4 linked regions of the Oreochromis niloticus genome follow. The protein of the gene in region 1 binds, or shares a complex with, the protein of each later gene. Links are inferred from orthologs where the notes say so. Each region holds a gene or a part of one and is shown on either strand. Other genes may lie near its edges. The genes, in order: snrnp200, snip1, snrpd3l and usp39.

What was found.
Region 2: snrnp200 (region 1) and snip1 share a complex: the UniProt entries of both Homo sapiens proteins name them as parts of the minor spliceosome. The link is inferred for Oreochromis niloticus from reciprocal best matches to the Homo sapiens genes SNRNP200 and SNIP1.
Region 3: snrnp200 (region 1) and snrpd3l share a complex: the UniProt entries of both Homo sapiens proteins name them as parts of the U4/U6-U5 tri-snRNP complex. The link is inferred for Oreochromis niloticus from reciprocal best matches to the Homo sapiens genes SNRNP200 and SNRPD3.
Region 4: snrnp200 (region 1) and usp39 share a complex: the UniProt entries of both Homo sapiens proteins name them as parts of the U4/U6-U5 tri-snRNP complex. The link is inferred for Oreochromis niloticus from reciprocal best matches to the Homo sapiens genes SNRNP200 and USP39.

What each region holds. Positions count from the first base shown.
Region 1 is NC_031977.2:12,273,157-12,280,440, reverse strand, and holds the start of snrnp200 (U5 small nuclear ribonucleoprotein 200 kDa helicase), read right to left. Parts: upstream 3,018-7,284; coding exon 2,973-3,017; intron 2,756-2,972; coding exon 2,592-2,755; intron 1,704-2,591; coding exon 1,532-1,703; intron 1,434-1,531; coding exon 1,241-1,433; intron 1,145-1,240; coding exon 1,089-1,144; intron 1,008-1,088; coding exon 909-1,007; intron 801-908; coding exon 648-800; intron 558-647; coding exon 458-557; intron 371-457; coding exon 234-370; intron 154-233; coding exon 76-153; intron 1-75. UniProt on the Homo sapiens protein: Catalyzes the ATP-dependent unwinding of U4/U6 RNA duplices, an essential step in the assembly of a catalytically active spliceosome. Plays a role in pre-mRNA splicing as a core component of precatalytic, catalytic and postcatalytic spliceosomal complexes.
Region 2 is NC_031976.2:27,045,087-27,052,712, reverse strand, and holds snip1 (smad nuclear-interacting protein 1), read left to right. Parts: upstream 1-4,616; 5' UTR 4,617-4,741; coding exon 4,742-4,950; intron 4,951-5,151; coding exon 5,152-5,278; intron 5,279-5,635; coding exon 5,636-6,177; intron 6,178-6,370; coding exon 6,371-6,623; 3' UTR 6,624-7,313; downstream 7,314-7,626. Other genes in the region: gnl2 (nucleolar GTP-binding protein 2), read left to right, coding at 396-503, 597-1,078, 1,452-1,534, 1,769-1,848, 2,007-2,150; dnali1 (axonemal dynein light intermediate polypeptide 1), read right to left, coding at 2,563-2,598, 2,685-2,849, 3,109-3,287, 3,387-3,556, 3,625-3,761, 4,039-4,119. UniProt on the Homo sapiens protein: Required for pre-mRNA splicing as component of the spliceosome. As a component of the minor spliceosome, involved in the splicing of U12-type introns in pre-mRNAs. Down-regulates NF-kappa-B signaling by competing with RELA for CREBBP/EP300 binding.
Region 3 is NC_031972.2:24,898,325-24,905,885, forward strand, and holds snrpd3l (small nuclear ribonucleoprotein D3 polypeptide, like), read left to right. Parts: upstream 1-4,543; 5' UTR 4,544-4,701; intron 4,702-5,416; 5' UTR 5,417-5,431; coding exon 5,432-5,557; intron 5,558-6,252; coding exon 6,253-6,445; intron 6,446-6,885; coding exon 6,886-6,950; 3' UTR 6,951-7,098; downstream 7,099-7,561. Other genes in the region: adora2ab (adenosine A2a receptor b), read left to right, coding at 1-9, 495-1,453. UniProt on the Homo sapiens protein: Plays a role in pre-mRNA splicing as a core component of the spliceosomal U1, U2, U4 and U5 small nuclear ribonucleoproteins (snRNPs), the building blocks of the spliceosome.
Region 4 is NC_031977.2:19,023,289-19,030,878, reverse strand, and holds the start of usp39 (ubiquitin carboxyl-terminal hydrolase 39), read left to right. Parts: upstream 1-4,589; 5' UTR 4,590-4,728; coding exon 4,729-4,792; intron 4,793-5,089; coding exon 5,090-5,168; intron 5,169-5,252; coding exon 5,253-5,347; intron 5,348-5,432; coding exon 5,433-5,569; intron 5,570-6,363; coding exon 6,364-6,516; intron 6,517-6,605; coding exon 6,606-6,831; intron 6,832-6,926; coding exon 6,927-7,001; intron 7,002-7,351; coding exon 7,352-7,419; intron 7,420-7,590. Other genes in the region: lg12h2orf68 (UPF0561 protein C2orf68 homolog), read right to left, coding at 1,434-1,556, 1,652-1,794, 1,892-2,007, 4,147-4,256.

The sequences.
Region 1 (7,284 bases):
TGTAAAAGAAAACTCACAACAAGTAGTGTTCCTGACAGGATGATTTGTAGTTAATATATTGAAAGTGTTATATACCTCTCCATGGTCTATGTCCATTGCTTCCAAGTCATCGACACGGGACTTCCTCACTCTCTCCCTGCGAGACCGCTCTTCCTAAAGGACGTAAAAATAAATAATGTGACAAACTGAGCCTCACAAAGAGTTCACATAATCTCACAATCAAGCCTCCTTACTCGAATAATATCCTCCTTCTCCGTCTCTTGCAACTGGTAGAGAATCTTTGACAGCTCCTGATCAGACTCCATCTTTCCTATGATGCGCTCCTTTTCCGCCTCACTCTGAGCACTTGCCAGCATGGTACAGTACTGAACTGTGTGTCAAGGGAGAAGAGAAAGAAATCAGTACCTTTTCAAAGACATTAGCTCTGTAACAGTTTCACTCAACAAAGCAGACTTACTCATGCGACGATGCTGACGCAGGATTTTAATGAAATCAAAGGTGTTAAAGCCGAGGAGCAACACCAGCTGGTTCTCACACTCTCTGTCGTCGCTGGCAGTCTGTAAAATAAGAGACGAGAGAATGATGTTGACAAATACAAACTTACCTGCTCTAAACAAACAAAAACACAGGGAACGTCACAAACCTACCTTGAGGATTTCTAAGACCTCATCTGCCTTTTTTTGTGAGACGATGGCGTCATCATAGAACCGGCTGAGCTGACGCTGGAGCCAAAAGGCGTCGATGTCTCGAGGATGTAAATCTTTTTTCTTCACTGTCATCACGTCACCCGCACCACCGAGCTAAGTGAAAGGTAATTTATTAGTTACTGTGCAGCACAGTTGCAATATCTCACAAAGACTAAACACAAATATGGGCTTAATAGAGTAATGCCACGAATGGAAACTTACATTAGCTGAGAGAGTGGAATCCACAGCTGCCTCCACTCCTTCACTGTCTTCATCGGAGTGTTCATCTCGTACCTCGCCATACTGGTCTTCATCAACTTCCTGTATGTTAAGACAGGAAAAGTCAGTGACACAAACTAATCAATCAGCTCAGCTGTAAATCTTAAGAGCTACAAGCCTCACCTCCTCATCAGACTCAAACTGAACATTGACACCATACGTTTCATCAATGTTGTCATCTGTGGATAAAAAATACCACACATAATGAATATTTTTAGAGAAAACTGATGGATCCTGTACAGTTTTCATTCAACAGTTACTCTGAATGTGCCTACCCATATTCTGCAAGTCTTTGTCCCCCCCATAGTCTGTGATCTTTTTGCCCAGATTGACTAAGACGTGGTAGCGCGTGTCATCAGCAGGTCCGAGAAGCTGCTCTACTTCCCGTCGCCTCTCTTTGTCTCTCATTTTGTCATTCTTGAGCACAGCCAGAACTTCATCAGCTGCTCCACAGAGAATATCACGCGGCTGTAAAAACGTAATGAGATAATGAGTAAAACATGCAAGATGTAGCGGAAACAGAAGCAGAATACTTCAAGAAAGCAGCTGTTGTGGCGTTCACTGACCTGATCTCCCAAAGCAGCATGGATGAAGCTCAGTAACACCTCATATGTTTCTCTGGTCTCTTTGGTTTTTGGTTTGTACACAATGCCCACCATCTCATCAATGCCTTCAGACAGAAGGGTAAAGCCCTTCATTTTGTTAATGTCGTGTCTGTCTTCATCCCTTTTTCTTCTCCTGGATAAAAAATAAAAAAAAATAAAAGATGATATGTTAACAGTAGAGCCATGTTTGGCCATTTGAGTGGCAAACATCTTCCAAGGCATGTCACATATGTTCACTTTTTCTTTTTTTCTTGAGAATTGCCTTGAAGAGACATCAAACTTGACAGCTGTTCTTCCCCATACTTTTATTTTCAGTTTTTCAAAATTAAGTTATCACGTGGAACTAATGAAGTGATTTTTAATACCGGATTATTTTGTTCTTTTTTTAAATCAACCGGTTTTGCCTTCAAACCATAGATTCGACGAGTTAAAGCCTATATTTCTCAGAGAGTTGGGGCCACACTGACATGACAGCATCGCACAGTAGCTGCAGATTTGACAACTGCACGTCATCCATAATGCAAATCTCCTGTTCCTCCACATCCCAGAGGTGCTCTATTGGACTGACATGTTTAAGAAACCAGTTTAAGACTATTTGAGCTTTGTGACATAGTGCGTTATCCTGCTATAAACAGCTGTCAGATGAGGGGTACACTGGAATCATAATGGGATGCTTAAACAAAAAGATCCCCTACACTATTAGACCACCAGCAGTCTATCCTGCCTTCTTGCATTCATGTTGCTTATCCCAAATACTACCATCCATTTATGTTGTGCATTCAGAGATGCTTTTCTGCATACTCAGACATGATCAAAGTCAACCCACCTTTCTTGTTCATTCTGATATGCAGATTGACCATGCCTAAATGCTTAAATGCACTGAGTTGCTGGCATGTAATTAGCTATTGCACATTTGCATTAATGACAAGGGGAACAGGAACATCAGAGTGGCCGGTAGTGTATATAAATTATGTATTGCTTTAAGTTCACATGAACAATATATGTAGCTGTCTGCACTGACTTTTCTCGTCTCTCCTCCAGCCTCTGAGGTTTGGTCCTCTGGGCCTTGTCACCCATCTTGGTCCCCTCCAGCTTCCCGACCAAGGACAACACCTCACCGGTGGGCTCATCTCTCCGGGTGCGGTCGATCAGAGAGCGATCGGCTTGAAGCACCAAGTTAGAGTTCTAAGAGTTCGGCATAAAAACAGTGTGATGATGAGACAGTACATCAGTCTGCGCTGCAACAGGCTGAAGTAAATGCTAGTTAGCAGTACGGCTAGCTAAACAAGGATAAATATCAATTAATAACAGTACACACCAAACACTTTTCCTGATAACTTTACAGAATAACAATCCCTGCCTCTGATTTTTTATTTTTTTGTCTCACTCTAAACACACTCACCGCTTTGTACTCGTACTGCAAGCTTCGAGCAGTAACATCCGCCATGGTGCTGGTTTTCCCTCAGGTTTTAGCGCACTTTGTGAAACGGCTAACTGACTGTTAATATCCACAGAGTCGACCTCACTCTGCCTGCTTAAAGAGACGCTGTGAACATGAGTGCACTGATTACACTTGTAGCATTAGCCAGTTTTCGAAAAGTCCGAGTTTCATACAACAAAATGCGTTTCGCATACGTTACAATAGCGCCGCTAACACGAGCGCACAACAAGCCGCGCTTTTCCTCTTCCGCTGTCAAAGGTCAGAGCAGGATCATCGATGCAAAGGAGCAGCGCCCCCTACAGGTTGGATTTATTTAGTTTCAATGTCCTATTGTTATGTCAATGTATTCATGGGTATATAAACTTATGTAAACTCGCCAAATCTCCTCTGCTAGCGGCTTATTCTGCTACTGACTCTTTTTTTTAGCTTCTGGTACCCCAGAATCAGGTGTTGACAATTAGACCCTGATTAGCAGCACCTGTGAGCATGGACCCTGTTACAGCGGTCAGTTGGTGTCTGCTCCAAGCATGGCACATTTGACTGATCTGGATAGGGCCTGTGCCATAGAGCAACTTTAAGCTGGTGTCCCAGTTGTAGCATTATCTGGAGTGAGCCCTTGTACCATCTCCAAATTGAAGGCCAAGTTCCATATAATGGAGCATGTCAGAGACAGGCAAAGAAATGGGCATCTGAAGAAGACAACGGCACAAGACAATTTTGTTGTAGCACTTAGGAACTGTTGGCGCTATTCTTTAGATTTGCAGTCATGGTTTGCAGGACAATATGGTTGACAACACTTTACCCAGAAAATCAGAAGACAGGCAATCTCTGGTCTCATAGTGCTGCCAGGAGGATGCCATGACTGCCCTTCACCGTCAGGCCTGTTGTCAGCGACACGTGGAGGAATGTTCTCTTCAGCGATGAGTCCAGATTCTGCCTATGCCACTTGGATCATAAATTTAAAGAGAATGCTATGCTCATTTCTGCACCATAGCGTAACAGACCTATCATCATAGAGGCAATCATCATAGAGATATTAAGATGAGATTACGCAACCAGTGGCAATCCCATATCTCCACAGTCTGGGATCAAACTCTATCCTCCAAGATGACAACCCATGCCATTATCAGAGATTGCCTCGAGAATTTGGGAGTGGAGAGGATGGAATGGCCTGCCTGCAGTCCTGATATCAGCCCCATTGAACACTTGTGGGATCAGCTTTGGGTGCTCTCTTCATGCCAAAATGACCAACACAACCACAATCGCCTAACTTGCAACAGATGCTGGTTGAAGAATGAGACACCATCCCACAACAGAGTACATTGTTTGGCACTGGCGGAGAAGATTTGGCAAGTTTTTCATGGGTGCAACCCACATGCTCAACTCTGATGCTCAACCCACAAATACATTTTCCTTACAAATGTGGCACCATTTAAGGAGAAATAAACAGGCCTTCTACTGATATGAGTTATTGCTAAGACGCATTGTAACAACAAAGAGACAAACACACTTTTTGTGCTAACTTCATTATATTGTCTATCATGCTTACATTATGTAAAATTGGAATAATTTCATAAGAACAACAAAACTTGCCATCCTGTAGTGTCTTCAGGACTTACACAGCAGCCATGTAGTGTTAATACTACTAAAAATAATGCCCCTGTCACTATCACTACTAAAACTAAAAGTAATTATTATTATTATTACTGCTATTGTGTATCAGATACAGTATGCTGATTTACCATAGTAGACATCTGTACCATCACTTGCACAGTATAGTACTACTTAATGTAATAGCCCATTGATAAATACCATACTACTGTACATGCTGAAAGTCTGCATAAAGTTATCTGTGGAATCACTATACCAGCCAAACTTAGCTGTAGACCAATCTGCAGATGAGACACTTTCCTGTGGCACTGGCTGATGTTTATTTGTTTGGTCACATCAATTTGGCAGTGGCTAAGTGTTCAATGACAGTGACAAGGAGCCAACAGACTTTTAAACAGACAAGGCAGTTTTATTAAATTAAAACTTCTTTGTTTCCCTGGCACAAAATAGGGGAAAGGAAATTATAAAAAAAATGTGATTGATTCATATCAGTATTTGCTTTCACTAAATTGTTTCTTTAAACATCATAGATTACATATATTATAGATCCAGGATTGGGACATCTCTAGTCCTGTGTGTTATGCTGTATTTCATTTTTATTCACAGAGGGCAACACAGCGTGTAGCTCCACAAATAGGGGGCAAGTGAGGGTGGCTGTGGTTCAGGAATTAGAGCAGGGCAACTGCCGGATCGATTCCCTGCCTCCTCCAGTCTGCATGTCAAAGCATCCTTGGGCAAGATACTGAACCCTGAGTTCCCCCTTATGCATCCATCAGAGAGCAAGTGTGTGAACAAATTTCACAATGGATAAGTCCATGTTTGATTTGGGATTTGTGTCTACTTCTCATCTAAAAAAATTGAAAACGAAGCTACAACAAAAATTAGAGACTGTTCATAAATGAACAAACTTACAAATTCAGGAGAGGATCACATAATTATTTCCCCCATGTACATTATCTTCTAAGCTGCATGACGAGCTGATGCAAGATAAAGCTTTGAACCCCACACAGGAGACACCACTGTAAAGAGTGGGGTTAAAGTGTGGATGTCCTTTGGGTTCACTCCACTCTAAAGAGTAGTCGTTCTGCACCTTGGGGCGGTGGCTTAAGAGTTGGGAGTTCGCCTTGTAATCGGAAGGTTGCCGGTTCGAGCCCTGGCTTGGACAGTCTCGGTCGTTGTGTCGTTGGGCAAGACACTTCACCCGTTGCCTACTGGTGGTGGTCAGAGGGCCCGGTGGCGCCAGTGTCCGGCAGCCTCGCCTCTGTCAGTGCGCCCCAGGGTGGCTGTGGCTACAATGCAGCTTGCCATCACCAGTGTGTGCGCGAATGGGTGGATGACTGGTTGTGTAAAGCGCTATACAAATACAGGCCATTTTACCATTTACCTTGAACAGTGTGAGATCAATTATTTCTTGGTGTAAATAAACGTCAGATTTATGAAGTGCAAAAAGAAGCATGTACAAGAACTTTTCTTCAGGAACTCATATGTTAGTCTTTGACTGTCATTTTGATCTAAATTAAAATTGCTAAATGAGAAAGATGAGCCTCATTGTGGACAATATAAGCTGCACTGTGAACTCTATGATTAGCAGCGTGGGCCACAGTCTGTGAGCTACAACATCCAAAATTTAATATTTAAAAATATAAAAAAATTACAATTCCGTGTAGGTATGACAATGATTAATGAAGAGCTGTCCAGGTTGGATTTTCAGGTACCTCTGAGGTTATTATCATCCCACATAACATTTTTTTCCATCAACCACCAATATTCTTCTAAAATCTGTTTTTATACATGACATACATGCATTTTAACTGTACAGCCACATATTTGTAAAGCTTTTAGTGCCCTAATACAATTTTTTTTAAACACACTGTTCAGTTTTTGATGAAAAAAAATAAGCTGTTTTTTTAAAAGATTCTCTCTTCTTTTTTTTTTTGCTGATTTCACTACTTTTCCCTGAAGCACTTGACTCATTTGCCAATAAAAGCATTTATTCAACTGTTATGTACATGTTAGTCATAAACATGTGTTTTGGTATGATGTAATAATGGTGTGTGATTCATATCGGGTAAACGAGTGCTTTGAAAATGTGTGGTAAATGGGTTGCACTTACACAGCTCTCACACCCAGATGGCAGCAGTGAGAGCAGTTGTCTTTCTCCACGACACGTTGACTTGTCAGACAACTCTATCACAGTCCCCTCAAACACCTAAGTTCCCAATATATGTATATCATTTTGCTGTGTATGAGAATATTCCACAGTTATGGATGTAAAAAGGGTAGTGAGTGGATGTCTCATATGTGCTTATGTGTCCATTCAATGTAAGTTGTTATCTTGACCCAACACGAGCTGCAAGGATCAAACAGGATTTATTGTAGAAAGTGTGTGAAAAGAAAAGGAGTAAGATGAACTTGACTTTAGTTTCACTGTTGTTGTTTTTTACTGGAAAGTACTTTGGTCAACCATGTTGTTTTTAAAGTGCTCTATAAATAAAGTTGGATTGGATTGTTGTCTTTAAAGAGGAGAGTACTGTATGTTCCTGTTTGTGGCCCCATATAACTTCCATTGCCTTTGCACATCTGGCTACAGCATCTGTCACTTTCCACTAGTCGGAGTCTCTGAGGCCACCGAGGCCTCGGTCACACCCAATGACAGACAAAT
Region 2 (7,626 bases), on another chromosome or scaffold:
ATATGGCATAGGCAGAAATCTAGAGAAGGCAGGACTGAAACATAAACAGCCCTCCCTCTCAGATGAGCTTGGGTCTTATGTATGTGCTGTGTATGCATTTAAAAAAGTTACATTCACTTCATTCTCAACATAGGACACGGTGAGCTCTTATTTACCAGATGGAAACTCTCTGCTTAACTGATTGTACCGCCAAACTTTCTTTCTGCTTGGGCTCTCTCCTTTCACTGCCAAATGTTTAAGTCTGAAAATAGAGTCCAGAAGAGCTGCAGGGCTACAGCTGCCTCTGAAACACTAGATATATATTTTTTTAAATTTATTTATTTATTGCTGCCTACTTCAGCTTTAAATCACTAAGTCTTAAGATGTCTTAGCAATCTCTTCTTGTTTTTGTACAGGGCGGTGAGCCAGATCTCGCCACAGTCTCTAAAATGGTATTGAATGACTGGCAGAGAGGACGTATCCCCTTCTTTGTGAAACCCCCTGGACCTGAAGGAGATCAAGAGGTAAGATTACACTGAATTTCTCTCTAGGGCTTTTTAAGTGCACCAAACTGTGCCCTCAGTGTAAACCTGTTTTTATTGCTGTGTTTTCGCTAGGATGAGAAGCCACTGCCAGTTGCAGGACCGTCGGAGGTAGTAGAGCATGTGGAGAAGGAACAGCCAGACAATCCGGACGCCATCTCAGAGGAACGTGAGGAAGAACAGCAGAGACAGAAGGAACAGGTCCAGAAGATTCTGGCTAATGTCCGACAAAACTTTGGCAAAATCAGTGTAGCTCCAGAGTTCAGCGAGGAAGACTTAGTTCCCGTGGACATGCCTGATCTGGACATGTCAGATTTTTCTGGCTCTGATGATGAGGAAGATGAGGGCACAGAGGAAAACGAAGGCAAAGAGGAAGATGCGACCAGTGTTGAACCAGTTGATGAAGGGACTGACATCTCTGAGCCAACAACCTCTCAGACTGAAAAGACAAACGGCAGCAAGAGTTCACGGGAGGTCATACGTGAGCTGGATGTGAAAATCGCCAAGTACAAGCAGTTTCTGGACCGAGCCAAATCCAATCGCTTCTCTGCAATCCGGTCAGTCTGCTCAAGCCCAAACCTCACTCGCATATTTTCTTTGTCTTGTGTACTGCCACCATTGTGTTTCCTCCAGTAACGTAATGTGAAGTTGTCAGACATAGAGATGCCACGCATTTTAGGTGGTCCGTGCTAACCAGCCTTTAAGCCGCTGATGACTAGCAGTCATCGTTTTGATGCCATAACTTTTGTGTCTTTTGTGTTCTTTAATGCTTGTGTTGAATTTCAGCACACACTGAAGAACAAAGTCAAGTAACCGCTGTATAGTTAATCTGAGCCTAATTTAATTACTGTTCATTTCAGCTGACCCCAACAGGGATAAACTGTTTGCCTTGTTTTGTAATGATTTACTTTTTTCCATTTCTTTGGACAGGATACCTAAGGCGCTTTCTGACAAAGTGTTCACAGACATCAAGACTAAACAGTCAGCAGCGACTAAGCAAGCACAGAAGAAAGGTAGTCAGTCAGCTTGTTTGTTATGACTTTGTATGGTTCTGGATGTAAAAATAATTTGGGAAAGTCTTTATCAGATGTGGTTAAGGTCCAATAAACCTTCTGCAGTTCCAACAGAATAATCAATTACTGATATTTATCAACATGATATTTTGCACAAACTTTATATTTGAATGAGTACGTCAAGTTAACATTCAGGCAGTGACATCAGATCTGTTCATCTTTCTTTGAATTCAGCTCCAAACCAGAGGGGTAAGAAGAGGAAAGCTGAGGAGGGTGAGGACCTGGCCCAGCCGAACAGACTCACGTCTAAACAGGTATGCAGTGTTTGTTCTCTCTGATGTCAAACAGGCCAGATTTCTCTGGTGAATGTTCTTCTTACTGATGTAACATTGGAAATGAAAAGCTCTGGTCTTTTTTAGAAGAAGATTTCACTTTTTTTTTCCTTCTATTTCTCTTTTATCTTTCTCTACAGAGAAGAGCAATGGATCGTGCTCAGAGGACGAAGAAAGTTGGCGTGCGTTATTATGAAACTCACAATGTGAAGAACAAGAACAAGAACAAAAAAATCCCAGCATCAGGCACAGAAGGTCAAAATACCAAGAAATCGAAGCACTAGACTGGAGTTGAATAAAATAAAATAAAATAAAACACACATGTAATAAATCTGTATTTAAATTAGCCTGATGCTATTTTCATTGGGGAAAAAAAAAGGTTGGCAGAAGGTGGAACACTAAGGTGGTCTTAATCAACTTGATGCCTTATCTTCATGACTGTTATAACTTTTTCCCCTCAGTGCAGAACTGTATTTGAATGACATTTCATTCATCATTTACAAGTGTACTGCTCTCTTGACGTTCAAGAGCAATCTGCAGTAGTTGTTTGAAGTGTACTTGTTATGCCAGAACAATAAAACATTTGTAAATTACACTAAGTTTTTACTTTAATGTATCATTAAGCAATAAGATGAATTATAAATGAATACAATCTTGTACAGAGAAATGCCAGCTAAGTTTTGGGGTTTTTTTTTTTTACTTCCTTGGTGCAATTATCTCTTCCAGTTGGGCCTGAAAAGAAAAGATGGGTGGTTAAGAAATCTTTAGACAATACAATCTACAATAATTATTCTCTGATGTGTAATTGAAAAAGTCACCTTAAGCTGTTGGTTGGTTCTCTTTAGGAGCTGGATCTCCTCATTGTGCCTCTTTTCTTCCAGCTGTCGTTTTTCAGCTTCTATCTTCTCAACTGTTTCACATTTAGCCTTCTCTTCATTCAGCGCCTTCTTCAGTTCTTGTTTCTCGTTCTCTAGCTCCAAAATCTGCCCGTATACCAAAGCATACTTGTGAGTTTGTTATTGATGCGGGGTCAATCCTGTAAAGAGCACTGCAGCCACTGTCATTGTACAGTAACTGTAAAATAGAGAAATGGTGCTCTCTGCTGGACTCCTAGCTAAATGACAGCTGAACTACATGAATGGCAAAGTAAATTTCCCATCATCTATAAATTGCCTAGTATTAAAATGTATATATATTTTGTGACCCTGTATTTGTAACTCATAAGGAACATGATATCCTTACTCTGTTTTTCATATCAGCTTTGCCCTTCTTAGCCTGCAGTGTCTTTCTCATGCCGTAAGCTATGCTGCTTTCATAGACGGTCTGGTAGGCGGCAATGGTCATTTGAATCTCATCTCTGACCCGCCACAATAGCATACCCCTCTCAGCACAGTTGATGGTTACCTGTCTGATTAATTCATCTCAAAAGAAAGAATGACAAGAAAACGTATGTGATTAATTGTATTTATATGCATTGATTGTACCTTCTATAATCAGCAACATCTCAGCTTCTTCCTTACCAAAACACTGGGAATAGAGCGCCCTGCGGACAGGGCAGATGCCGGTTTCTCTGGCCTGTCTTTCCTGGAGTTTTGTGTCTAGGAGTTCCTCTAGGTGCAACACATCTGTTCTTGTACAAGGTGTACTGGATACTTTCTGCACCCACAGTTGGTTTCCCTCCATCCACTCCCTGTAAGAGGAAAATTTGAAAAGTTCTGAACTTGCTGAAGAACATGCTATAGATAGGAAAAACTGTACCTGGGTGGGAGGATTAAATTGAGGATCTCCTCATTTTCCTGCTTAGTAGCCTCAGTAGAGGCTGATTTTGGTTTAGGAGGTGGTGGAACAGGTGTAGAGTCAATGGGCTGCTGAGGGCTTACTTTCAAAGGGCGTCCCTGTAGTGACAGATGTTTCATAAACTATCAGACAAACATATTATTACCCTGATTTGATTTTTTAAATGACTGATACATTTTCGTAAATCTATTATAAAATACACCTTACAGAACCACCTTGTAACTATATATGCATGCAAATATATTAGTAGATGTAAGTATAATTATCTTAAGATTTAATCAGACTGCCGGGATTTTGAATAGCATAACTTTTACATTAATCTCAAATCTATCCCTGAGATTTGTGCCATAAACACGGCTGGCTTGATAAACTCACCTTTGGTGATTTTCTGTCTGTGCTTTTGTTGACCAGAACTGGATTGTCGTATTTCAACAGCGTGTCAGCTGGAGGAATCATTGTCGTTTACAATAGAGGGATAGAATAAAGTTATACAGTAAAACTGGAAACTTCTTGGTTTAGCCTTTAGTTACAGAAAGCTCACGCTCATTGTTTGGGTTGTCCTGGCAACAGCGTCCGTTACGTTCTAATGTGTGCGAGCGGAATCAGCGCATAGCTTCAGCGAGTACAGGCTAGTGACACTTTTTTTTTTATAAATTCCCTTTGAGATAAATACATTTTTATCAGTATTTTTTTAAAAAAAAATTATTTTAAAAAGCCCAAGGGCATGTGATTTTGTTGTTGTTGTTGTTGTTTTGCTTTTACCACATTGTGCAACTTTTACTATGCCTTTTTTATTGTGTTTAGAGGCTGCATCTAGTAAAAGTAATGTGTGTTAAACGAATATGTAAATAATGAAAGAATATTCCAGCTTTTTCAATACACTAAAATATTTAGGCTGTACAGGAAATAAACTGATCGGCTTCTCATGTCGGAACCAACGTGAAACATGAACACACGCGGAGCTTAATTCTCGGTGAACCTCAGGAAGCGGAAGTGCGTGATCTCGGCGTAACGGGTGAAGTTTGTTACATGCCGAGGCTTTTGTTTTTTGTACATACAGTGGTGTGGTTGAAAATGTATGCTTTTTAGGTTATACAACGGTCGATTTGAGAGAATTATTTTAAGCATGGCCAAAGAGAAGCGGCACAGGAGAAGAGAAAGTCCGGAGCGTGAAGCCGAAGTAAAGATAAAGCAGGAGAAACTGAGCCCTGCTAGGCCACAGAGATCACGCCGCTCCAGGTCAAGATCCCCCGGCAACTCCAGTCCACAGAGAGGAGGAACGAGCCGGTGTGTGCACTAAAGTTATCATACCACCTTAATTTTGCCACATATGTCATATTGATCAACTTGACAACCGTGACAGAGTCCGTTTTTTCGAGTATATCGCTGTAGTACTTACTTGGGCTAGCTACGGCCACTAGTTGCATCTTAACGGTGAGAAATGTCATGTGAACGGTCGCTTAATACTCTCTTGTGTTCTTCATTTAGGTCACCTGCAAGGACGAGGGACCGTTCACCAGGTAGAAGGGAAACCTCTCCCGCCAGAAGAAGCAGCAGATCTCCGAGAAAAAGGAGAAGTCGTAGTCCTCACCATGGGGATGTCAGAGTAAAGCGGGTGATTAGTTTCAAAATTATTGGGAAACATTTCAGGTTTGCAATTCAGCAGCACCACTGGAGTGTAAAGTGATCTAGGTGGTATAAAGTACTCATCTGGAATTTATCACACAGAAGCTTGTGTAACCCAAGTACTTTGAGATAGTACTAACAGTCTGAGGCAGTATGTTTTCTGTGTAGAGACCCAACATTGGGCTACAGTTGTCCCATTTTAATGTTTTTCAGAGGCATCTGGCAGTAATGACAATATGTCAAACAAAATAGAGCCCACTTTTCCATACTGAAGGGTAATGGAGTATAATATAACTAACTACTCAACAATGTAACTGTGTAAGTATTCTCTAAATATATGTCACAGGAACGGGATGAGCATAGAGCTAGCGGCGACGAGAGAAGAAGAAGAAATGAGCAACCAGAGGACAGACGGAGTAGGTGGGAATCAGATAGGCCACGAGAGAGAGAGCGCGGTGGAGAGAGGCATAGGGAGCGAAATGCTCTTGCCTCTCAACAAGCTGAACGACAGCAGCAAGATGAGAGACGCAGGGAAAATCGCCAGCGACGTGAAGAAAACCAAGAGCGAGACTTCGGGAGGTCAGAAGAAGAGGGTGATGAGGCAAGCGCTGCTCCTGCTGAGAAAGAGAAGCCAAACTTCGAACTTTCAGGGGCACTCACAGAAGACACAAACACATTTCGGGGAGTGGTGATCAAGTACAACGAGCCGCCTGAGGCTCGGATTCCGAAGCGCCGATGGCGACTGTACCCTTTCAAGAATGATGAGGCTCTTCCAGTCATGTATATTCACAGACAGAGTGCCTATTTGTTGGGGCGACAGAGAAGAATTGCTGATATCCCGATTGATCACCCATCCTGCTCCAAGCAACATGCAGTATTCCAGTACAGGTAGGAAGAACAGTCATCATCAAATTTTTATTTATTTTTTTTTTACTCTGGTTTTCTTTTTGATTGAAAAACGTGCTCAATCTGTGGTGATTACTATTTACTATTGTTGTTGTCCAATATGTTGAATGACTCTTTAATCATGATCCTCATTTGCAAATAGATCATGTCCACCATTCTGTCTTCATTTCTGCAGACTGGTGGAGTTTACGCGGGCAGATGGCACCACGGGCCGGAGGGTAAAGCCTTACATTATTGACCTTGGCTCTGGCAATGGCACTTATCTGAACAACCAGCGTATCGACCCCCAGCGGTACTATGAACTCAAAGAAAAAGATGTCCTAAAGTTTGGCTTCAGCAGCCGTGAATACGTGCTGCTCCACGAGTTCTCAGACACAAGCGAGGTGGATGCCAAGCAGGAAGAGGAAGACGAGGGCCTTGATGAGTAAATCGTTCCCACTTATTTGATTGCCTAAGTTCATTCAGGTTAGATAACATCATCATCAAAAACAACAACAACAGGACAAACAACTGTTTCTGCAGGGAATGGAGCAATAAGTTTGAACTGGTAAATGCGGGAACTGATTGAAATAATGGAACAGGATTTGTTGGTGGTGTATATTCTGTAATTACTGATCTCTTGCTTGAACCTGCCACAGCTGTCTCAAAGAAGACTTTTTCTCAGGTTGTATAATGTCTATGTGATACATGACGGATCTTACTTCTGACAGTGCTCGCATTACATTAAGATGTGCTCAGTGACAGATAAAGATATCTCACCAATCTATAGTTATATATTCTATATTTTTTGCGCCATAGCACTGAGTGCAAAGCATAGCTAATCATCTATGTCCATGCTATATGTGTCAGTGTACATTACATTATTGGAATGTGAACTCAACATTCATGTTTAAAGAGCATTTTTATTGTCAGAGTAAACATTGCAGTACAAGATGTAAAGATATTTCCTTTTCCTTTTTTGTCTTTGCTTCGTAGTGCAGGAAAAATTATTAACGCTGTTGTGTTCCCTTGCACTACTGGAATCTGTATGCACCATTCTTATTTTTGCCCATTCATAGAAACCCATAGTAAATTTTCATTTTTGTACTGTAAATAAATTTTTGAAGAGTTTTATTGGAGCAAACTGGTGTCCGTTTTGTTTCTATCACAAAATGTCCCGTTTTAAGGAGGACAATAGGCACCATAATTATTTAACAAGTGGGTACTATATAGTGGGTAATATAATTTGTTTATGATAATTTAAGCCTATTAATTACAGTACTCTGCAATAGTCTTGAGTATCCCTTCATTTCTTTATATTTTGCTAGGAAAATGGGTGCAACAATTTACTGAAAGACATGCAAACATACAGTAAGGCAAAAACAGTTTGTACAATTCTGTACTATTGAAAGTCGATACTTGATAGGACCGCCTTTATTCCTCAGCACAGCA
Region 3 (7,561 bases), on another chromosome or scaffold:
GGAACACAGGTGGGGAAAACTTTTTGCCAGTTCACAGGTTGTTTCATGTTGTTCCATGTTTCACACAGCATCAATGAAAGGCATTGATGCTGTGTGAAACATGAAACAACCTTCCTTTACGTAGTCAAAATCATCCAGAGGAGGCGTTTTGATACAAACAAGCAAACATTATTCTTGTGTAAGGGAGGATGCCCCGCTTCCGTCTGTATATCTTCTTACTGCTTATTACAACAATTCTATTGCATTGTATAGTATAAATGGATAAATGCAACAACGATGTATTTCTAGAAAGGTCTCGTGTTCTTATTTGCACGGGCAGTGGCAAGAGAGACATGCATACATTTATTTATTTATGTTTTCATGTTTAAGTTACATATTTAAGCATGTTTAAGTGGTCCTAACTGCTGAGGAGATTGTTTAGGAAAACTGAACTGAAACCCTATAATTTTGCTTTTGGATGAAACTGGCAATAAATCACTGTTTTCTTTACACAGGTTGGAACTCCAATACCACTGCCACCAAAAGCCAAGGCTGCCCTGAAGGAATGACTCATTGCTTGTTTGAGGGAGTGGTTCCCCTTGACTATATGGTCTATTTCAATTTCTTTGGCTGCGTGTTGGTGCCCTTGGTGATAATGTTGGTCATCTATATCCATATCTTCATGGCAGCCCGCCGACAGCTTCGACTGATGAGCCTCAAAGTTGCACACGTACCTGCTCCCGGACAGAAAACTCCATCTTCTGGCTCATCTCGTTCGATTCTGCAGAAGGAAGTACACGCTGCAAAATCGCTGGCTATTATCGTTGGTTTGTTTGCTCTGTGCTGGCTTCCTGTGCATATTATCAATTGCATCAACCATATTTGCCAGGGCTGTGAGCGCCCACACATCTGGGTGATGAACATTGCAATCATTCTCTCCCATGCCAACTCTGTGGTGAATCCCCTTATCTACGCCTACCGCCTTCGAGAGTTCAGATATACCTTTCGCAAGATTCTCTATCAGCACATCCTGGGAAAGAGGGATGGGCATGTGTTCGGGGTTGAAAGTGCTGATGGCAGAGGTGTAAGGAGCACTAGTATCATGCAGACATCTGCCCGTACGAGTAAAGAGGATTTATCATGTGGCACAATGGTAAATAGTTATGTTCTCGAGTCCAGTGCTGAGAAAACTACATCAAATGCCTCTCATGAGAGTTTAGATTCTGTACCTAACAGTAATACACCCAACGGACACCAAAAAGCAACTGGCACCCCATCAGAAGTACAGCATCAGCCAGGTATCTTGGCATCTTCTGCACAGGAAGCAGCAGCGTCCGCCACATATCTGGGAGGAGCAACAGATATCTTGGAGTTGAAAGACAGAGGAAGCTGCATTACTTTTGTAAATGTACAGGCACTCCCCTTAAAACAGAATGACTGTTCCCTTTCTTCAAAAATCACAGAAATATCATGACAAAGACATTTAGTTATTTCAAATATATTGCTCTCAGAACACACAGAACGTTCTGCAAACGTGAAATTTCAGCAAATCAGCCTCGACAGCAAATCTGTTTTTTTATGTAAATTTTTTTTTTTTTAGTTTGGAGTTTCTTTTTGTTTTATGTGCACTTTAACGTTTAAAGATAATATACTTTTTGTAATGTGCAGGTTTTTGCTATCTGTGTTGTTTGCATGCCATCAAAATTAAACATCTTTAAATATGTCACAGTTTTGTGGTGTTTTTGTGCTGCAGCACTGAACTGAACTTTGTCACTCATCCAGGTTATGATACTCTGAAGAGCTTGAAAAGAGAAGAAAACTAGACTTCTTTAAGTTGTGAAGATGTTTCACCTCTCATCCAACAGGCTTCTCCTGTTCTAAAAACACCTTGGCTGAAGTGACCTCAATAGGTCACATGGCAGGATGTGTGGTAGACCATACTAGCCCCTAGTGTGGGTTGTCCACTTGGAGGTGGTTGTTGACCCAATATTGATCATGCGAGTCATCACATGAGCCAAAGTGTGAAAAAGATGTGGGTCATCGTCAGGGGTTATGGGGGAAACCACTCAGAGACTGTGCCCCACCCTATTATGTGACCTATTGAGATCATCTCAGGGAAGGTATGAGTAGGGGTTAAAGCACCTGGGAAGGGATCTCAAGACTGCATTGTAGGTGGCTGATAGCTAGTGTCGTAAGGCACCACCTCTGTTCAATGATGGTCATTCACAAGTGGCTGCTTGGTTTCTCCTTGATGCACTGCGCAGCATACGCTATGTTGCTCAGTTTGTTTTTGGGAGTTTGGTCCTTGAGATCAACCAGTTTTTCTCTAAGGGTGTTGCTGGGTCTGAAGTGCACTATAATATCATGGTTAGAAGAAATTCTCATGAGTTTCTCTAACAAACCTGCTACGAGATGGCAATAGAAGGCCTCCTTTACTCCTCCTATAAACCTGGCCTTATGTTTGGGAGTTTTGTTCTTAGAATGAACCAGTTTTTGTCTGAGGGTGTGGCTAGTCTGAAGTCTGAGGATCATCCACATACCTGTACCAGTAGCTAGGTGCAATCCCTCTGAGGAAGACCAGAGCTTTATTAGAGGTTGGCTACAATGGCTGAGGTTGGATAGAGGTTCCTGCCCGTGGCACATCTAGGATTTTTTCTGTAGAAAAACCTTTTTGTATTTAAAATATGTGGTATCCTATGTGGAGATGTCTAACAGTGTGCAAATCTGATGTGGGATGTAGCAGATTCTGTTGTGTAAGGAGCTGTAGTTGTTTTCTGACAGTCTCCACTTCCTCAGTTGTAGCTCTACAAGTGAGAAGTGTGATGACATCACAAGACTTACAACTAAAACTCTGTTTGTTTTGCTGCTGTTGTGATCAGCGATTTGATCAGTGCCAGGCAACACATGTTCACTGTTGTTTACGAACCATCCAAAACAAAGAGCTTGTTTGCCTGTACAGATATGACCCCATATGCCTGTATTGTAGATGCTTTCAGAGTAAGGCTTGCTTGCATCACACTATGAAAAGGACACACATACCTAGGTAAAGTACATACACATGACCACAGACCACTCTGTAAGAAATGTTTACAGAGCAGCCTGGCACTGACGCCAGTCAATGAGCCTAATGCAATGGAAATCAAATGATGGTTCATTTGATGGTGTCTTTTATTATCCCATAATGCTTTCCCTTCCCTCATTAAAAAGCTCTTCCACTGTGGCAAAGACCTACATTAACCAGTTTTTATGTGCCTTAAAGCAATCCCAGAGAGAGGTCTCCAGGAATACGGGTACGTATCTAACTTGCACTGTGTTTATTCATAAACTTAAACGTATGCATTGTAATCATGCAAGAGGGGAATTAAAATGGGTGAAACCATTTCATTTCAATGGTTTTTTTGTTGCATGTTATGATATTTTGATAAGCATGAGATAAGGGTTATCAAAATGATTTGGTTATGGATATTACATAGCTGAGTCATAAAAAATAACAAAGATAAGGGGCCATTGTGGTATGATGACCTGGAGGAAAACAATCCAGTGTGTCCCTCTATAGTGTGTCATGCTGCCATAAATTACACATGTGTGACACCGGCATGCAAAAGGATTAAGCTATCTTTTAGAAAGAAATGCAAATTAGCAGAAACTCGGTAACAAAAGATTTATTGCAGCAGAGACCACAGTGTTTATTTAAAGAGTCATACTCTGTGCATTCCCTCTCTGGCTGATGATTTCAGTCAGCCTCATAAATTACCCACCTCCACCAATGCACCGTGTAACCATTGCAAGTACTGCATCCTTTGTTCTACACCTCTGATGTTCTTCTTTTTAAACCCCTCAAACTTAAATTTGTTAGTACATTCTTTTTGTTGTTGTTGGGGTTTTTTTTTCAAATCTTAGTTCTTCTGATGTGACTTTTTCTTTGCAGCCTGGCTAAATGGGTCACCATCCTTACTGTTAATGTTGAAACTTGTGTTTTGGTGATTCTTGTATCACTTAAAAAAAGTTACCAGAGAATCTGAGAGCAAACTATTTCTCAAGCTGGAGACTCTGCTGAATCTATCCAGCTGCTCAGTTGTGCACCACGGCCTGCAGGGAGCTACTTTGATGCTGTTCTGTTCTGTGAATGGTAACTGTAAAAGTGTACTTTCGGGACGGAATTTCCCACATACGATAGCCTTTGTTACTTGTAATAATAACAGTATGACTAGATTCACAGATAGCTGATGAGAGACAGGCTAGAATATCTGCTCATTCTTTATTCTTTATTCCGATTCACACTAGTTGTCCCTTGGGTCTAAAGATAAAACAATACAAAACATCCAACCATCAAGAGACAATCAGTCAACACATTGGAAAAAAAATAACCCATCAAATAAAAAGAGAATAGTTCCTGCAACTTATATGACAAACAATGACATATTATGAAATAATAAAAAAATACAATAAATGGCATCTATCAAAGATCTACTGATGATCACTTGATGTATCATTTTTTTTCGCCAATCGGTGTATCCAAATTCCTTGTGAACCCGTAAAGCCATAAAAATACAGATCCCACAATGCACTGCAGAGCATCACAGGAAGCATTCGATTGAACCGCCGGTGCATTGTGGGAAGGCGGAAAAAGGGCTCAAAAGGTAGGGAACCGCGTCTGGCGCACGTTGCAACGTCAAAAGAAGAAGCAATAACAAAGAAACTAGCTTTTACGATAGACTCCAGGTAAGAAACAAAAATACTCGTAATTCAACTGAGACTGTAAATTTTTTCCATGCTCATTAGCAGCGTTGTTTGTTTCTTGTGCGTGTGAATCAAGCGCGTTCGTTCAGGAGCCAATATGGCTCCGTCTATTTGCCGAACTAATAACTTATTACTGCAATAAAGAGGCAAGTGTTAATGTTGAAATCGTATTTGTGTCATTTTAAGTTTAATTTGTTACACATGGCATTAATTGGGTTACATTATTGTATGCAACCAGGATATATTATTGTCCATTAGCCTAGCTCGCTAATGAAGGCTAATTCCTCTCGCAGCTTCGATATTCAATGATTTGACTGAGAGATTCGCTTTATTGATCAGAAGTTAACTGTAGCTTGCTCATCCCATCTTAACGAGGGTCACTGATTGTTATATATTAACTCCCAGCAACTCTTTAAACAGTATAAGAGAGCTGATTATCGTTACACAGGCAGTACTCGAGTGAAAAATAAATTGGCGAGGATAATGATGTGTGGACAAGTGAAATGGTTCCTGATTGCCTCTCTGGTGTTTCTGTAACTAAACGCATCGCAAAATTAACAAGCCAGTTAGCCATACAGTTTGGTTACAGTTAAGTGTGATGTTTGATGAAAAAAAAAAAAAAAAATGCGTTTCCAGGAGCTTACAGCCTGTGAATGTGCACAGTGTAACATTTCTTCTGCTAAATTTTGTTTTCCAGAAACATTCTTGAAAAATGTCCATCGGCGTTCCAATCAAGGTCCTGCATGAGGCAGAAGGCCACATTGTGACCTGTGAGACCAACACTGGAGAGGTTTACAGAGGCAAGCTGATCGAAGCAGAGGACAACATGAACTGCCAGGTCAGTACATGATAAAGAGTGGAAAGTGAATGTGGATGGTGCTCCTCCTTACGGGGGTCCCATCAACCAAACTGTTGGTACTGTATTGTTTTTATGATATTTTTTTTTTTTTTTTTTTCCTCCCTTAATTAGAGTAATCAACAGTTTAGTCTTTAATAGGCTGCTTGATCATTTGAACAAGTTTTGTTTACTTTATTTTCAGGTAAATGCCCCTAAATGGCTTAAGGTCTTGTAAGGCAACACCGATAGAAAAGCTTAATGAGGCTAAAAGGAATTGCATTACAAATAATAGTGTCTTTGTTCTCTGCGTCTCTCTGTTTTCCCTTTAGGTAAATGTAAAAGGACATCTGAATGTTCAGGTTCAATTTGTGGTGTTTTTATTTTAATTATAACATTTATTTCTAGTTTTTTGTTTATATTTATTTTTTTCCCCCGTAGTTGTTTAAAGGTTTCCAAGCTTTCCACCTGATGGTGTCAAAATAAGAGTGAATTGTGCTAATCAAGTACTGGAGACCTAGATCTGGTAGCTGCATTAGTAAGAGCCAGTTAATTAAAAATTGGTCCCAGATCAGATGGTAAAAATCTGTTCCTTTTATGGCTTTGTAAAGTTTAGATAACTACTGTTGACTTGAATAAAACACTAAAGAGCAGTTTGATTACATTTGTTGAAAGAATGATCTTTCTGTTTCTTACAGATGTCTAATATCACGGTGACTTATCGGGATGGCCGCGTGGCACAGCTGGAGCAAGTTTACATCCGTGGCAGCAAAATCCGCTTTCTGATTTTACCCGATATGTTAAAAAATGCTCCTATGCTGAAGAGTATGAAGAACAAGAACCAGGGATCTGGTGCAGGAAGGGGCAAGGCAGCTATTCTTAAAGCACAAGGTGGGTGAAAATTCGCAGTGGATTGATACACCTGTCAGTATGTTCAGTAGTGGGAGCAACTGATGGTGATTTAAACTCACTGCATGCATTGATTGCCTTTTTGTGTTTGTGCAGCATAACTAAATCCTACCATGAGAAAAGTGCTTTCTGTCAGTGTTGCTCTGTTCCTTGTGTAATAAGTACAGTCTTGTCATAGGTGCAGGGGATCTGTCAAAAACACTGACTTAAATGTTTCATTGTTGTTCAATTTGTCTTCACATCCCCTTTAAGATAGAGCTGATATTTTGCCAAGCGGGTGTTAAGGATACAAAATTAGACTTCACTGTACTTCTCAAAGTACTGAATGTATTATTAAGGTTACTGAACAGTTTTTCTGGTTCAGTGAGGTACTCTACATTAAAAACTGATAGTATGCCATCTTTGTTTTTTGTGCTCTCCAGTGGCTGCAAGAGGACGAGGGCGTGGTGGAATGGGAAGGGGAAACATCTTCCAGAAGAGGCGATAATTGCTCCAGCTATATTAACATTTTTGCATTGTATAGTTTTTGTTTCCCCCTTGAATTTGATATGTTGGATATCATTTGAAATCTTGTACTTTGCAGTCAGTTGCTTTAATTTCTTTTTTTTTATTAAAATAAAAGTTTTTCAATTTGATGTGTCCTGATGTTTTTGTTTTGTTTTTCTTCTCCCACTTACAAGAGATTCACTTGTGCCAACAGTCTTATTTCAAAACATCCAATATTTAATAAGGAATGTACTAGGAATGCGGTGTTTAGCTTTATCCAAGTAATTTCAGTGTTAAACCCTGGGTTTTCTGTACTATAAAAGGTTACCTGAGTATATTGCCATGTTGCCTTCTGCTGTGGACCAGATAAAATCGGGCCTAAAATCACCACATACTAACCAATCAATTCTTTGGAAATTAATTTTACTATTCCAGAGGAGTCCTTGGCCCTGTGCAGATGGCAGCATTTAAAGGATTTCAGCACCATCCAGTCTTTTTTCCGTAATGGGCATCAGTAGTAAGTACTGCATTGATTCTTAAATGCTACCTCTCTTGTGTTGGCTGCAGACCTTGTATAAAATGTGCATGTAGCCTAAGCCTACATATGAATGT
Region 4 (7,590 bases), about 6.8 Mb from region 1:
GGCCTTGAGAGCCGGCGTCCTGCAGGTTCCTTGATCCAACACAGCTGATTCAAATGGCTAAATGACCTCCTCTACATGTCTTGAAGTTCTCCAGAGGCCTGGTAATGAACTAATCATTTGATTCAGGTGTGTTGACCCAGGGTGAGATCTAAAACCTGCAGAACACCAGCTCTCGAGGCCTGGAGTTCCCTACCCCTGGTATAGAGGCTATTATTCATTGTTGGACAAGCAGCCCCAATAAGATATGAGATTTCTGACAAAGCAGAGGACAGAGAAGCTCTGACTGAAGTGCACAAAGATCCTGAAATGGATACAAACCCAAGGCGCTACTCCATGTACAGCAACTTGCCACCTAATTCTTCGTTGCCCCTCTGTTCTTCACAGTATTTTAGTCAAAAAGTCAAAAGAGGGGAAATATTAGAACAATTCAAAGTGCCCCTTTTTATTGAAACTAAACTGTTTAGTAGGTGTCTGTAGAAAAATGCATTCTTTTTACAGAAGTACAGCATAAAACCTGATTTAAACAGGAGAAAAACTACAGCAGAGGTCTGCGTGGTTGTATGACTGATGCTGCCACCTGCTGAAAATTTGATGTGAAACATTTGTCAAATCAAACTGATGCAGTATTTTTCTATGTTCCAGTATTATATTCATGTTTAAAAATCAGAATCTATGTCATATAAGATAAGACAAAAAAAAAATAAAATAAAAAGTGGTGCTCAGCACCATAAAACTGGACAGCAATGCATGGCTTTAATACATTTTATATGTAAAGTGTCATCCTCAAAAAGATATTACAGTATCAAAAATAAGTCTCTCAACAATCCAAAATAAATCGGAGCACTGGAACCTACAGAACAGTTACCAACCCAACAAGGTCATCTACTAGACTCGGACTTCAAAACTAATTTCCCTCATTTCTTAAACACAGGATTGCTGACAGACCGATGACAGACAGACCGATGATCAGCTGAAAACGCTTCACACAAGGAGTTCAAATCTTAATTTAACAAACAGAATCTTTGTAAACACAAGAATCACAGGACATGGAGGACAACGCTTTTAGGGCTCTGTGCAGAAGAGTACCTGCTCCTTCTGAATGTAACTATTAAAAAGTAACAATTTTAAAAATGTCCAGTCAACTTAAACGTGTCCCCAATATGTGAATCAGAGAATAGCACAACTGTCCAAGGTCAAGAATTGCAATTGAACCTGAAAACAACTCCCAGCCATAAACTGTGCTCTTCCTTCTTACAAAAGAAAAAAAATGGCCTGAATATAAGTCACCATGTTAGATCTCTGCTGACAGTCACTCTAAATGATCCTTCTTATACCCTTAATGCACAAGAGTGCTCTGGAGGAGTGCAGAACTGCAAACGAAGTGTTCCTCCTCTTTGCGTGGAGCTCCTTTATGGTCGTAATCTGATGATTGCTCAGCGTTTGTCTCGCCTTTTGTCAATTTCTTTTCGAATTCGAACCTTCAGAGCTGCCCTCATGGCTGCATCCAGGATGTTCTTCTCTGCAACACGTTCTACCACCTTCTCAGGCTTGTCCTCCTTCAGAAACAAAAGGCATTTAAAGGAATTACACACAGGAAATGACCAAAGAAAACATTTTTATGAAAACATCATAAAAAGGAATCGGCATTAACCTTGTGCACAAGGATGGATGTAATGGTACCAGAATCAGCTTCATATTCAAGCCAAAAGAGTTCAGTCCCACTGGCGTCAGTCTCTGTGCTTGATCCACTCTCGTTTTCTTCAGCATCAGCACCGGCCCCTGGCTCTGAACCATCTGAATAATGAGCGCATGCACACACACAAACACTTTATCTTCCCGCTAATGGGTGCACTATCAGCACAAAAGTCAAGAGAAAGCACATCAGTCTTACGTCTTCTTCGAGGATGGTACACTTGCATGTCAGGTCGACGGGGTCTTCGAGGGGTTGTGGTGTGTCTCCGCCGCTGAAGCTCTTTGGCTTGCTTCACCTCTTTATCATAGTCATCTCTTGAGAAAGGGAATCAAAATTTAGTTAATGCAGAAAATGTGACAAACAAATAAATCCAAATAAATAAATAAAAAATAAAATTAACACATTGAAGGGCTGGACAAGCATTAATGGAGTGACACTGTTTTTTATATTGTGATTTTTGACTTGACTAACCACTGTATACAGATGTCATCATTTTAAATAAAATTGAAAGACACTGACAGAAAATACTCCTTTTTACCAGTCAGCCAGTCTTCAGACAGTGGTGAGAAGCTTACATACAGGCCATCAATGTAATTTGCGGATTTTCTTTGAACTGGCATGATATTCATGCCTACATATGCATTTATGCACATTTCTAACAGTTTGTTGTATAGTTCAGAAAATGCATTATGAAAGTAAGTCGTGCCTATGTAAATTTGGCACAAAAAGTAAGGTCCATTATTTCTTTCTTGTAACGATGCATCTTGCGAATAAATCTCATACCGTTGGAAAGCCTTTTTATTTCCCCTTCAGTAGTCCCACATTTCTCAGGAAAAATGCATTTTTCCTAACAAATGAATGGGATGAGCAGCAGAGGTGAGTATGGGGGTTGCGCCCATGAAAAAGTTGCTAAATCTTCTCTGCCAATACCAAAGAGCCTTATTCTGCTATTGACTCTTCTTTGGTGTTGCCTATTGAACTGGATGATTTAGGTCTTAAATTTTTTTTTTTTAGCAATTTTTTATTTCAAGAAATATGGGCCTATGCAGCACGTGGAACCATACGCAGACTCAACAGCTTGGCACCTTCTATGCTGGTCACCGGCTTGGTCCACATCCAAGCTGATCACATAACCGTTCAACGGGGTCAGGACTTCAGGTAGGACGTTCCATCCTCTCCACTCCCAAAAACTGGACCTGAGGTGGTCCGCTCTGTTGTGGTGAGCATTGTCATCTTTGAGGATAGAGTTCCCTCCTAGACTGTGGAGTTATGGGATTGCCACCATTTGCAGAATCTCGTCTCAGTATCTCTTGCATTGAGATTGACTCAAATTTTGGCAAGCCTCGTTTTTCCACTGAAGGAGATGCCGCCCCACGTTATAACACTGCCTCCACCAAAAGCTGCTATCCTATCGGTGCAGCAATCAGCACAGTTTCCCAGTGCACATGTTGCCAACAGCAGCACAAATGTGCCTGATGGTGAACAGCAGTCATGGCAGGCCTCCTGGCAGCCCTATGACACCGGAGATTGGCCTGTGCAGTCTGTTCTGGATTTTCTGGGTAGAGCACAGTCAGTGATACTGTTCTGCAAACCTTGACTGCAAATCTACAGAAGACTGACTTCTGTTCCAAAGTGCTGACAGGGTGAAGAAACAGTCTTCTTATGGCGTCGTCTTCTTGGGATGCCCATTTCGTGGCCTGTCTGACATCCCGCATCAAATAAAACTTGGCCTTTGATTTGGATAAGGGACTACACCAGCTTGAAGTTGCCCTATTGGCACGTGCCCTGTAAGGTCCACAATTACAGGTGGTGCTAATCCAACAATCAGACACCTGTCTGTATCCGGGATATCAGAATCTCAAAACAAAAGTCAGTAGCAGAAAAAAAACTGTTTGGGATTCGCAGATAAGATTTTCCAGGTTTTGTCATGGGCACAACCAACAAGTGACACAATTTAAAATAACACAAACAGACTTTCCAGTGAAATATCACTTATTTTCAAAAGCCAAACAAAGATTTTCTTTACTTTTTGTGCCAGGTTTACTTGCTTTACTGAAATGCATTTCAAAGAAACCTACAAACAAAAACATTATGTGATGTGTTTAATTTTTCTCCTAGTATTTTTGGGGTCTGTCGTATTTTCTGTCAAAAACAAGTTAAAATGATCCCCCTGTTAACAGATGCGCGCACTGATTGAACTCAGTTTTTTCCAGTATGCAGTTGTTTATCATTTTGCTCCTCAGTATCTTAAATCAAAGAGAACTGGTCACCAGGCCTCTGCGACCTCCCCATATATTTTAGCTCCGAATGTAAAAGCGTGTGTGTTAATAACAAGATAATATTTACTTAATCGTAAAATTATTTTTCACTAATAATAATAACGATGATGTTTTTAACTGAATGACCTAGTGTACTACCTACTAGCATAAGCTAATAGCAGCTGAGGAACTCACCTAGCAATCTGGTTCCTCCGGATATGGTGCAGGAAGCCGTGGCTCATATCCAAGCGACCACCTGGTTTGTATTTCAGCTCATGGACCCCCTCTTCTCTTAAAACATCCATTTCAGCAAACCGCTTCCAAACGACGTCAGTGTTTATGCACTGCTGACTGCAACAAGTCCCAATCAGAGCACTGTGAACGGTCAAAAAGCTATATAGCTAAGGCTAGCTAACGATAACATGTTGTCCAATTATAATGCTCCCTGAGTTAATAAATAATGATTATAACTAAATTGCGCACCATAAACAAATACCCAAATATGACAAACCTGTATATATATTTAAAACAAACAAAGATCCAGTTATACTTTAGAATTTGGCAAGTTATCATATTAGTTTTTGGTAAGTGACTAAGGGTGGGTATAGCGTTAGTAGGTTTTCAAACTCCGGGTTAGGTTTTAGTTTGCTACTCGACAGCTACAAGGCACAATCGCCGCGAGTTTCGAGGCGCACAGTGCTTGAGCCATTCATCACTCTCTCCAAATAACGTAAAGGTTTAGCTTCTAAATTGTTTTGACGCCGTCTATCTGCTGCTATGGTTTCTTTGAAGCGAGAAAGAGAGGTGGATTTAGATGATGATGATGACAATGAAGACGGAGGTAAGTATATTCCTCAAACGTATGCCCTGCGTTTGGTTAGCAGTTAGCGTTGTTGTTAGCCAGTGGTGCGTTGGTTTTTTTACTGGCCTGTCCAGTAACGCATAGACGGAGCAATAAGTGCCTCTACCATGTGCTTAACAAAACGATACCCCTCATCTTAAAGCACCCAGTGTTTGAAAACAAGCATACCTCACAACCTCAAAGCTAAGCTAGTTAGCATGTTTAGCTCATTGCTTTGAACTGTTGGTACATGGTTTAGCTTGACATTTGTTCTTCTTTGGTCACTTCACGTTGCAGTGGCAGCAAAAGTTGGACGAGGACATGCAGTAGAAGACCGAAGAAGCCGCCACTGTCCTTACCTTGACACCATAAACAGGTAGGTCGGAGTAGACTGTGCATTGCTATTAAAGCTGTATTCCACCTCTGCAGGTGAATTCAAGTCTGTGTGTCAATCCTGCAGGAGTGTGCTGGACTTCGACTTTGAGAAACTGTGCTCCATCTCTCTCTCCCACATCAATGTCTACGCCTGCCTTATATGTGGGAAATACTTTCAAGGTAGGCAAATGGACATTTTAACTGGGGATCAGACACCTTGTTGTACTTGTACTGATTTGTGTGGGGTTTGTTTTGTGTTTTGTAGGAAGAGGTCTGAAGTCCCACGCTTACACTCACAGCGTACAGTTTACCCATCATGTGTTCCTCAATCTGCACACACTCAAGTTTTACTGTCTGCCAGATAACTATGAGATCATCGATTCATCACTAGAAGATATCACAGTAAGTAATGTTTTTCATACTAAAACTAAAATTCATGTAATCTCACTGGCCACTTTATGGGGTACAACTTATTACCGTACTACAGGTTTGGACCCCTTTTACCTTCAGAGCTTGCTTATTAATTCTTCATGGCAGAGATTCAACAAGGTGTTTGATAATTCCTCAGAGAAATTGATCCATTTTGACATGATAGTGTCAGACAGTTGCTGCAGATTTGTCAGCTGCACATCCATGATGTGTGGCTCCTGTTTCATCACATCCCATTGCATTGAGATCTGGTGACTGGAGGCAATTTGAGCATTTAGACTCACTGGACCGTATTCACTAATCTCTGTGACCAGGATAGACAGCATTAGCTACACCAGAGGGACAGCTCAAGTTGAGCAGTTTAGAGGCAAAGTTAGAGACAAGTCTGAGGGTGGTTTGGACATGTGCAGAGGAGGGATAAGGAATATACTGGGCTGTAATGAGAAGAGGTAGATGAACCGCTTTGATGCCACCTAATAGGAGCAGCCGAAAGAAGAAAAAGAATCAACAGTGTAAAATGTATATCTATGCTAAAGGTTAGGTAACATTCAAATTATTTTGACTTTAGTGACTTTTTTTTTAAGCTGAATTGAGTGAATAAATATCTTCCAGTCTGAATTGTGACTGGATTGACTGAAGAAGCACCAGTGTTTTCAGTCTGATATGATAATAACCATGTTCTGTTTGATTTTGTCATTATTTCTGAGCTCTGGCTTTGTATCAGTTACCGCAAACAGCTGATTTGCTTACATTTCTTCTCTCTATAGTACGTGCTGAAGCCAACTTTCACCAAGCAGCACATTGCAGGGCTGGACAAGCAGGGTAAACTGTACAGAGCCTATGACGGTACCACCTACTTACCGGGCATTGTAGGGCTCAACAACATCAAAGCCAATGACTATGCCAATGTGGTGTTACAGGTATGGATATCTGCCACTCTAGATTTTATTAATTGTTGTAAATTTTCGGAATAATATCCTCCCTTCTCATTTGTGTCTCTCTTTTCAAGGCTTTTTCTAATGTTCCACCTTTGCGAAATTACTTCCTGGAGGAGGAAAACTACAGAGGAATCCGCAGGCCCCCAGGAGACATCATGTTTCTCTTGGTGCAGAGGTTTGGTGAGCTGATGCGCAAACTCTGGAATCCAAGAAACTTTAAGGCCCATGTGTCACCCCACGAGATGTTGCAGGCTGTAGTGTTGTGCAGCAAAAAGAACTTCCAGATTACAAAGCAAGGTATTACTTTACATTCACTAAATTGTGCTTTCTGGTCTCAGGTAGGCTTTCAACACAGGTTGTGGTGCTAACTAATTGTTTTTTCTCTTCTGCAGGTGATGCTGTGGACTTCATGACGTGGTTCTTAAATGCCCTGCATGGTGCTCTTGGAGGCACAAAGAAGAAGCCATGTAAGTGGAAGAAAAATCAAAGTGGATTTGACTCTGATGCTGTTTGGTTCTAATGCAGTAGTCTATCTACAGCCTTCTGTTGTGATATTAAAAGCATCTTAATGACTTTAAGGGTTAATTAAATTTCTATTTTTTCATTCTCAAACCTCGGGTTTCATACAGAATCTGCAGTCTCTGCACAAAATCATATTGCGAATGTGCGGTGTGATGGACAAGCTCTGTGGACTATGATGTTTGCAGACAACATTGTGATCTGTAGTCAGTGTGAGCAGGTGGAAGAAATCAGTTCCACGTTACACGTCAATTTGAGGCCACTAAACCTCCCTTTTCTTTTCCTTCTCCCCTCATAGCAATCATTACAAAAGCATTTCAAGGCTACATGCGGATCTTCTCCAAAAAACTCCCACACCCTGATTTGGTGAGTTTCTTGCTTGTTTTATAACTTTATTTAGAATAGAATAGAATAGAATAGAATAGAATAGAATAGAATAATCCTTTAATTGTCCCACAAGGGGAAATTTGGTATTTGTTTGTTTTATTTGTTACTTATTCAAATTCTTTAAAATGACTGCACGCCTTAAGATGCAGT